Coturnix japonica: one gene and its partner. Each later gene encodes a partner of the first gene's protein in a complex. Links are inferred from orthologs where the notes say so. Each region holds a gene or a part of one and is shown on either strand. Other genes may lie near its edges.

Evidence for each region. The genes of interacting proteins can lie anywhere in the genome.
Region 2: the proteins of GNAI2 (region 1) and P2RY12 are in contact, whole or in part, in a cryo-EM structure (PDB 7XXI), measured with the Homo sapiens proteins. The link is inferred for Coturnix japonica from reciprocal best matches to the Homo sapiens genes GNAI2 and P2RY12. Residues at the interface, in NP_002061.1 of Homo sapiens: Arg24, Glu28, Ala31, Arg32, Leu195, Glu319, Ile320, Tyr321, Phe335, Phe337, Asp338, Ala339, Thr341, Asp342, Ile344, Ile345, Lys346, Asn348, Leu349, Lys350, Asp351, Cys352, Gly353, Leu354, Phe355; in NP_073625.1 of Homo sapiens: Phe59, Asp121, Arg122, Lys125, Thr126, Pro129, Phe130, Thr132, Asn134, Pro135, Ile212, Leu216, Ser219, Tyr220, Arg222, Thr223, Arg224, Val234, Lys237, Ile241, Leu301, Cys302, Lys303.

The regions. Positions count from the first base shown.
Region 1 is NC_029527.1:2,015,734-2,019,480, reverse strand, and holds the start of GNAI2 (guanine nucleotide-binding protein G(i) subunit alpha-2), read left to right. Parts: upstream 1-1,153; 5' UTR 1,154-1,226; coding exon 1,227-1,344; intron 1,345-3,747. UniProt on the Homo sapiens protein: Guanine nucleotide-binding proteins (G proteins) are involved as modulators or transducers in various transmembrane signaling systems.
Region 2 is NC_029524.1:20,910,546-20,914,292, forward strand, and holds the start of P2RY12 (P2Y purinoceptor 12), read left to right. Parts: upstream 1-1,180; 5' UTR 1,181-1,287; coding exon 1,288-1,509; intron 1,510-2,704; coding exon 2,705-3,747. Other genes in the region: MED12L (mediator of RNA polymerase II transcription subunit 12-like protein), read right to left, coding at 296-443. UniProt on the Homo sapiens protein: Receptor for ADP and ATP coupled to G-proteins that inhibit the adenylyl cyclase second messenger system. Not activated by UDP and UTP. Required for normal platelet aggregation and blood coagulation.

The DNA.
Region 1 (3,747 bases):
TGGGTGCACCACATGGGTGCTGGTGTGGGGCACGGAGGTACGTGGGGCGGCACAGCTCGGGCTGTGGGATGCTCCCTGACACCAGGGTGATGGGCACCACTCGGCCCCGCAGTCCTCCCACCACCCACCCGTCTGTCCGTCCATGCCATGGGCAGCTCCCAGCCACGCCAAGGGCCAGGCCGCGGGGGATGCGAGCAGGCGGTGAGGGGGGGCCGGGGGCTCGCCAAGTAAATAAGAGACCTATTTTTATATGGGGGTGGTGGAGGCTGGGATGCTTTTTATAAATACTGTATATAAGAGTAGTTCTTTTTTAATGTGTCGCGCGGCTCTCGGGAGCTCCGAACCGTGTGCGGGATCGGGGCGGTGCTCGTCGTGTCACCCCGGTGTCCCCGCACCCACGGCCCCCCCACCCCGCCGCGCTGTTAAATTATATGTGGGGATGAGCGCCGTGCAGGAGGAGCGCGACCGAGCGGATCCGTTAAAGTAATAATAAAGGATACAAATGTGAGACGTGCCCGGTGTGGGGCGGGGGGGGGGGGACCGCGGGGACAGCACGGACGGGTGTCCGGGGAGGCCCGAGTACGATGCTGGGGCTGGGAGTGGGGACACAGCGCCAGCAAGAACGGCGACAAAGCGGGGTTTGGGATTCACGGCTCTGGGAAACGGGGTGCAATGGGGAGCTCAGCCTGGCGAGCGGAGCGGGGACGCCGGGGGTGGCTCCGTGCTGTGAAGCCGTGAGATGTGGCAGAATGAGCCACGGTGGGGATGGAGAAGGAGAGTCTGGGTCACAGCGCGTCCCATTGCACCGCCACCACCGACACCCCGTGCCCTGGGCATGTCTGCTGTGGGGCACGTGGCGCTGTGCATCATGCCTGCCCTGAAAGGACCCACAGCTACTCACTGCACATCTGTCCTGCTCACAGCACGGCCTGCCCCACATCTGTCCTGCTCACAGCACGGCCTGCCCCACATCTGTCCTGCGGAATGAACGTGGTCCTGTGCACATCTGTGCCGGGGATCACCGATGGCGCAGCCCACATCTGTCCGCACTGCATCACATCACATCGCATCACAGCCCAACCCAGCGCACCCAGCCCGTCCCCTTCCCTTTCCTCTCTCCACGCCCCCCGACGGAACCCCCGCCCTCCCCACAGGCCCCTCCCCGCCCCGCCCGCGCCGCGCAGGGCAGGGCAGTGCCGGCAGAGCGCGGAGCGAGGGGCGCCGCCATGGGCTGCACGGTGAGCGCCGAGGACAAGGCGGCCGCCGAGCGCTCCCGCATGATCGACCGCAACCTGCGGGAGGACGGCGAGAAGGCGGCCAGGGAGGTGAAGCTGCTGCTGCTGGGTGAGCGTGGCCGCCGCCCCCCGGGCATCCGTCCCCCCCGCTACATCCCGCACCCCCCTCCATCGCCGTCCCTCGGGCGGCTCCGGCGCGATTCCCCCACCCGTGATTTCCCACCCTCTTTTGGGACAACCCTCAACTTCCAGCTCCCCGCCGACCCCCCGCATCCCCGGGGGTTCCCTTCTCAACCCCCCGCCCTCCCACCCGAGGTGCTGCGGGGTCAGCCACGCCCCCGGGTCCCCATCGCAAAGGCCCCGGGTGGGATGCAGAACCCGCGGGCATCCCCCCATCCCCCCATCCCTCCATCCCTCCATCCCCCCATCCCTCCCCTCGCTGTTTCTGTTGCTGTTTGGAGCCGCCCCCCCCCGCTCCGGCCCGAAACGCAGCGTTTATTTTCTCCCATCTCGCTGTTATCTCTGGGGATGGGGGTCCCTTAATGCAGCCCCGGGGCGCTGGATGGGATCGGGAGGAGCATCCCTCCTTTCCCCCCTCGCCCCCCCCCGCTGCCGTCGGGGGGAAACGCCGGCACAAAATGTCTTTTCTCGTCGCCTCCTTCAAGAGAGGAAGCCGAGAGCAGCAGGAAGTCGTGGTGCAATCAGGCAGCGGCCGATCCGCTCCAACACCGTCCGCCTCGACGAGCGCGGAATGAGCGGAGAAGGGCGGAGCGCGACGGTGCTTCCCCACGGCGGGGTGCGGCGGTGGGGCCGGGCCGTGGGGGTCGGGTTATCGGTGCGAGGGGAACGGGAGAGAGCACCGGGAGCACCGGGAGCACCGGCAGCTCGGGACGGAACCCCGCGGCGTTTTGGGGCGGGCGCGTGGGGCTGAGACCCCGCTGCTGGGGCTGCCGTGGGCTCGGCCTCGCTCGGAGGGATGCGTTCGGCTCCAGGCCGTAGGGTTCCCCATCTCGGGATGGGGCGCAGCGATGCGGGGCTGGGAGCAGCGTGGTTGTGCTCCTTGTTGCAGGGTGAGGCTCCGGTTACTGATCTCGGTGGGTTTCTAAAGCCAAAAATAGAGCGAAACAGCTCCATTTTTTAGTCTTTTTGATTCCTTCCCCTGCCTCAGCAGCTGTTCAAGTGTAAACAGTATCGAAGGCCCTGAGCTCTCGGTGCTGCTTTCTAAACCGAAATGTGTCTGGAAAGGACTTGAGAGCCCACTGGGATGGCTCCTGGTGGGTCCCCATACGGTGCTTGGAGCCCCTCAGCTTGTCCTGGAACCCCCCCAGCTGCATCCGCATCCCCAGAGCACAGCACAGAGCACAGCACAGCACAGAGCACAGCACAGAGCACAGCACAGCACAGAGCACAGCACAGAGCACAGCACAGAGCACAGCACAGCACAGCACAGAGCACAGCACAGAGCACAGCACAGCCCCCAGCTGCTGCCCTGCTCCAGGCGGAAGTGAAACCGTGGTCCTGCAGAATCCTCTGTGCTGCTGCTGAAAGTGCTGTTGGTGTTTGGGGGATGGGGGCTGCCCGCCCGTCCTGCTGCTCTGCGCCCACCTCCCCGAGTTTCTCCCTTTCTGGCTGTTGTGTCGGTTTGATGGAGCAGCCCCAGGGGCTGTCGGTGGGCGCAGGACCTGTGGGCAGCAGCACAGAGAGGAGACCCCCCACCATCCCCTAAAGCTGGATGCATTTGGGATGCGCTCCTTGATGCTCCGCAGCTGCCCCGTGGGCTTTGTGGACACAGTGCTAACAGCCCTAAACCACACCGCCTGCTTGGCATTAAGGAAGAAGAGAGATTCCTTGGCTTCGCTCTTGGGGATCTCTGCCTTAGAAAGCGTTTGGGAAGCCCCAGATGCAGATGTTGCCCTCAAACAAAGCTGGTTGCAGGGCACATGGCTGGGTTTGCAGTGGGGGGCTCTTTGGGGCACGCTGTGCTCAGTGCTGAGGGTGCAGTTTCAGCCCCGTTGTTGGGATGGTTCCGTCGCAGGGTGGGGGCGCTGGGCTCTGTGGCTCCGTCTGTGTGCTCAGCAGCAGAGGAAGGGAGGCACCGGCTGCTGCTTTCAGCTCCGGCGCTGCCTCACGCACCCGCGGGTTTTCCTTCCTCCCTGCTCCCCACCCCACGCTCTGCTGCAGCCCTTTGGTGACATGGGGTTGCAGGGAGGTGCAGGGCTTTAACAGGGGTGATGGTTCTAAGGGAAACCTGACGGGGCCTGTGAGCCACACCAGGAGAGATGTGGCATCCCTGGGATTTCAAGGCCAGAAAGAGAGGAGAACGCTCCCTTCTTTCCTGGAAAAAGGCACAGGAATAGCTTTGTCCAGCTCGGAAAGCCAGCGGGGGTGTGGAGAGGGCTGTGCCCAGCCCAAAGTACGCCCAGCCCAAACCCTCCAACTGTCAGCCCCACACACCCTCCCCACAACGGGTTGTTTTGTTGCATCTGCTCCCTCGGCGGCCATGGATGTAGCT
Region 2 (3,747 bases), on another chromosome or scaffold:
TTATGACTACATAAAATCCTTCTTCCCTCAGTTTTCCACATGACAACAGGAAAGCTACTTTAAGGTCATCAGCATAAAAAAAGTGACACTTAATAACAACTGGAAAATGGCCACATTGTTTTACTGGGAAGGCCAGCAGTGCATATTACTGCCCAGCCAGAGCACTGAACTCCAGGCTTTATCCCCACACCACAAGCAGGGCAGGGCAGGGCAGCAGGCTGCGCCTCATGTTGGGGCAGCACAGCTCCCATGATCTCTGCTACGGGCTACCAGACAGCAGTGTGAAAGCATTTACCACCCATTTCAGTAGTACTCTTCTTATTCAGAATCTTCAGGATGTCTTTGGTAATCTTCTTCAGCTGATGTCTTGCTTCATCACGCTCCTTGCCAACGCCGTAGAGAAGAATCATGCGCTGGTTACACTCATGACTTGAAGATTCATCCTGAAAAAAGCAGCAGTGAAGTCTCTCATCACTGTTCTGCCATGGCTTGCAGAAGCCCAGCAGCCCAGGCTGCAGCGAGCAATAACAAATGTTTCATTGCAAAAAGCATCTCCAGCTGTTATGGCCGTGGAGGAAACAGCACCAAGTGAAACTGCCAGGTTCAGAACACAGGGAACACATGCCAGCTGGTACCACACATCCCTATGGATCTACAAAGACAGCCAGGAGATGCACACCATGCCCATCCCCATCTCCGTGGCAGGCAGTGCTAAGCACGCAGAGCACAAGTCCAGCAGCTGCTCCTCACTTCTCTCACCGTGTACAACCCCACCAACAAGAAGATGCCGTCCAACACTTAAGACTGTATTTTTTATAAATCCCAAAGAAACTGAAACACATACAGTTTACTGAAACTCTAAGCAGTTACATTTAGTCTTCTACTACCACGTATCACACAGAGCTGATGCCAAATACCTAACTTTAAAACTAAGAACTGCTCAGCAAGTGATAAAAGGTGTGAATCTTTCTTACAAAATCTTACAAAATAAGATCACCTCCTCCAATCACTGCTTCTCTTTACACAATGAGACCACCCACAGTTTTCAAGCAAGGAGGGCCGTGTAGAAAATTAATAATAAATGACTCCACACAAACCACAAGGCACAGAGACGGGAGCACAACTCTGCACTCAGGAAAGTTGCACCAGCTTACGAAATATGCGATACAATCTCTTTTAAAAATAGCAGCTCTATTTGTAGGTCGAAAGCAGGAAGTAAACCTCTAATTATTTAGAAAACTCTATTTCTCTCTGTGTGTTCTGAAGGAAACAAAAGCAGAAGCGCTGATGGCGTCACCTGGGATCAGCAACTGTCCCCCCCTGGCTAAGGAGCCAGACCCAGCTCACCAGCGGCCCCGGCACAGCAGCAGCCCCAGCACAGCAGCAGCTACAGCCTCCCCCAGCTCCGGGCACGCACAGAGAGCTGCTGCTGCACCAGGAACCGCAGTGACACCAGTGCCACCGCAGAGAACAGCCCAGCACAGCAGCGCTGCTTGGCAGCACGCAACGGTAACCCTCTCTCTGATTTCTGCTTTTCTTCTGATCTTGCATACCTGGGAAATCCTTGCTCTGTTAGGACTGGATGTGGCAGCTGGATCTGCCACACACTTCAGGGCAGAAGCAGATTCCAATATGCCTCTCAAACCCTTATAGACAGAAAAGAAGCTTGGCAGCTCTGTGAGGGCCGTGTCGGGATGCTCAGGTGCTGGCTGACCTTGCTTACAAAGACAGAGCTGCTCCTGAAAGTGGCCCCTCTGAGGTCATGCAGTGCCCACCTGCCTCTCACACTGGGCACAGCACGGCCCTGCCAGCTCCAGGGCTGCCGATGGCTGCAGCGCCTGCAGTGCCACATTGCTCCATGCCATGGGGTCGGTCAGTGCTTTCTGCAGCACCACATTGGATGGAACAGCTGATTTAGAAAAGTGACAGGAGAAACTAGTTGTGATGCTGTAAATTAATTCCTACACAAGTAAAGCTACAAAAGCCTTCACAGACCACGCTGGCAAACCTGCACCCGCTGCAGTAACACAGCGATGTCTGAGTGCTGGCATCTCAGCTGCGGGGCACCTAGAAGCCTCTCCTTTGGGCAAAACCATGCTGGGAGCCTGCAGGGCAAGCAGCCACCCCTGTGTCTGGAGGACGTGTGGCAGGAGTGGCAGAGGTATCTGAGAGCAGGGCTGGGGTGCAGGCAGCCAGAGCAACAGAAACAAGGAGGGGCACTGAACTACTTTCACATCATCTTCACTCTGTCAAATCTGCAGCCAAAAGGAGTTCTGCTGCTACCTCTTCTCCACATTAAGGATGTGGAAAACAATGTTTGCCCTTTCTCCTTGTGAGCAGAGGATGCAGCTCAGGCAGTTGCTGCCACAGCCCCCACACAGCCAAGTACTGGCAGCCCCACAGCCCATCACAGTGCCAGGATCCTGCTCATCCTGCCCCACACCTCCACACAGCCCCTGCTAGGCCAGGACCCAACAGAGCAGAACAGCAGCTCCCCTCGGTCTGCCTCCTGGTGTGGCCATGCCCAGCACTGCCTGCTCCGACTCGCCATCCTGAGAGGAAAGCAATGCAGGTGGCAAAGTCCAACAGAAAGGCTCACTGCATAAAAATGAAAAATAGACTAAGAAGGCTGAAATCATAAAAGACAGAACATCCAGCTTCACTTCTTTACTTTTCTTCTTTTGTTGTTTTTGTTTTTTACAAGGAGGGTGGAAAAGACGAAATGCAAACAAAAGCCACAAGCAACTTCAGCCACTCTATCAATGGCAGCAACTGCACCAGCGATAACAGAATCAGACATGTCATCTTCCCTTTGCTTTACACCCTTCTCTTCCTGGTGGGTCTCACTATGAATGGCCTGGCAACGTGGATCTTCTTCAAAATATCAAGTAAATCCAATTTCATCATCTTCCTCAAGAATACTGTCATATCTGACATCCTCATGATTCTGACTTTTCCATTTAAAATCCTCAGTGATGCACAGTTGGTACCGTGGGCACTGAGAGGGTTTGTGTGCCAGGTCAGCCAGGTCATATTTTACTTCACCATGTACATCAGCATCTTGTTTCTTGGGCTGATAACCATTGATCGCTATCAGAAAGCCACCTCGCCATTCAGAACATCGACCACAAGGAGCCTCCTAGGTGCCAAGATGCTTTCCATGGCAATTTGGATATCGATGTTTACTCTTTCATTACCCAACATGATTCTATCGAACAAGAAAAAAACTCCTGAGAACGTAAAGAAGTGTGCTCTCCTGAAATCTGAGTTTGGCTTAGTCTGGCATGAAACTGTAAACTACATCTGCCAGTTTATCTTCTGGGTTAATTTAATGGTCATAGTTGTATGCTACATACTTATAAGCAAAGAACTGTATAAATCCTACCAGAGGACCAGGTGCACGGGAAGACCATCAAAAAAGTCTGTAAATCTGAAGGTTTTTATAATAATCGCAGTGTTCTTCATTTGTTTTGTGCCATTCCACTTTACCAGAATTCCCTACACTTTGAGCCAAACAAGAAATGTTTTTGACTGTTCTGCAATGAACACCCTGTTTTACTTAAAGGAGAGCACGCTGTGGCTGACATCACTAAACGCTTGCCTAGATCCATTCATTTACTTTTTCCTTTGCAAGTCGTTTCGAAAGTCCTTGCTGGGCATGCTGTGCAAGCACTCCACATCACCAGAACTGTCAGCTCAAACAGCGGCGCTGGATGAAAGAGACGACACTGAGGATACCCCGGTTTA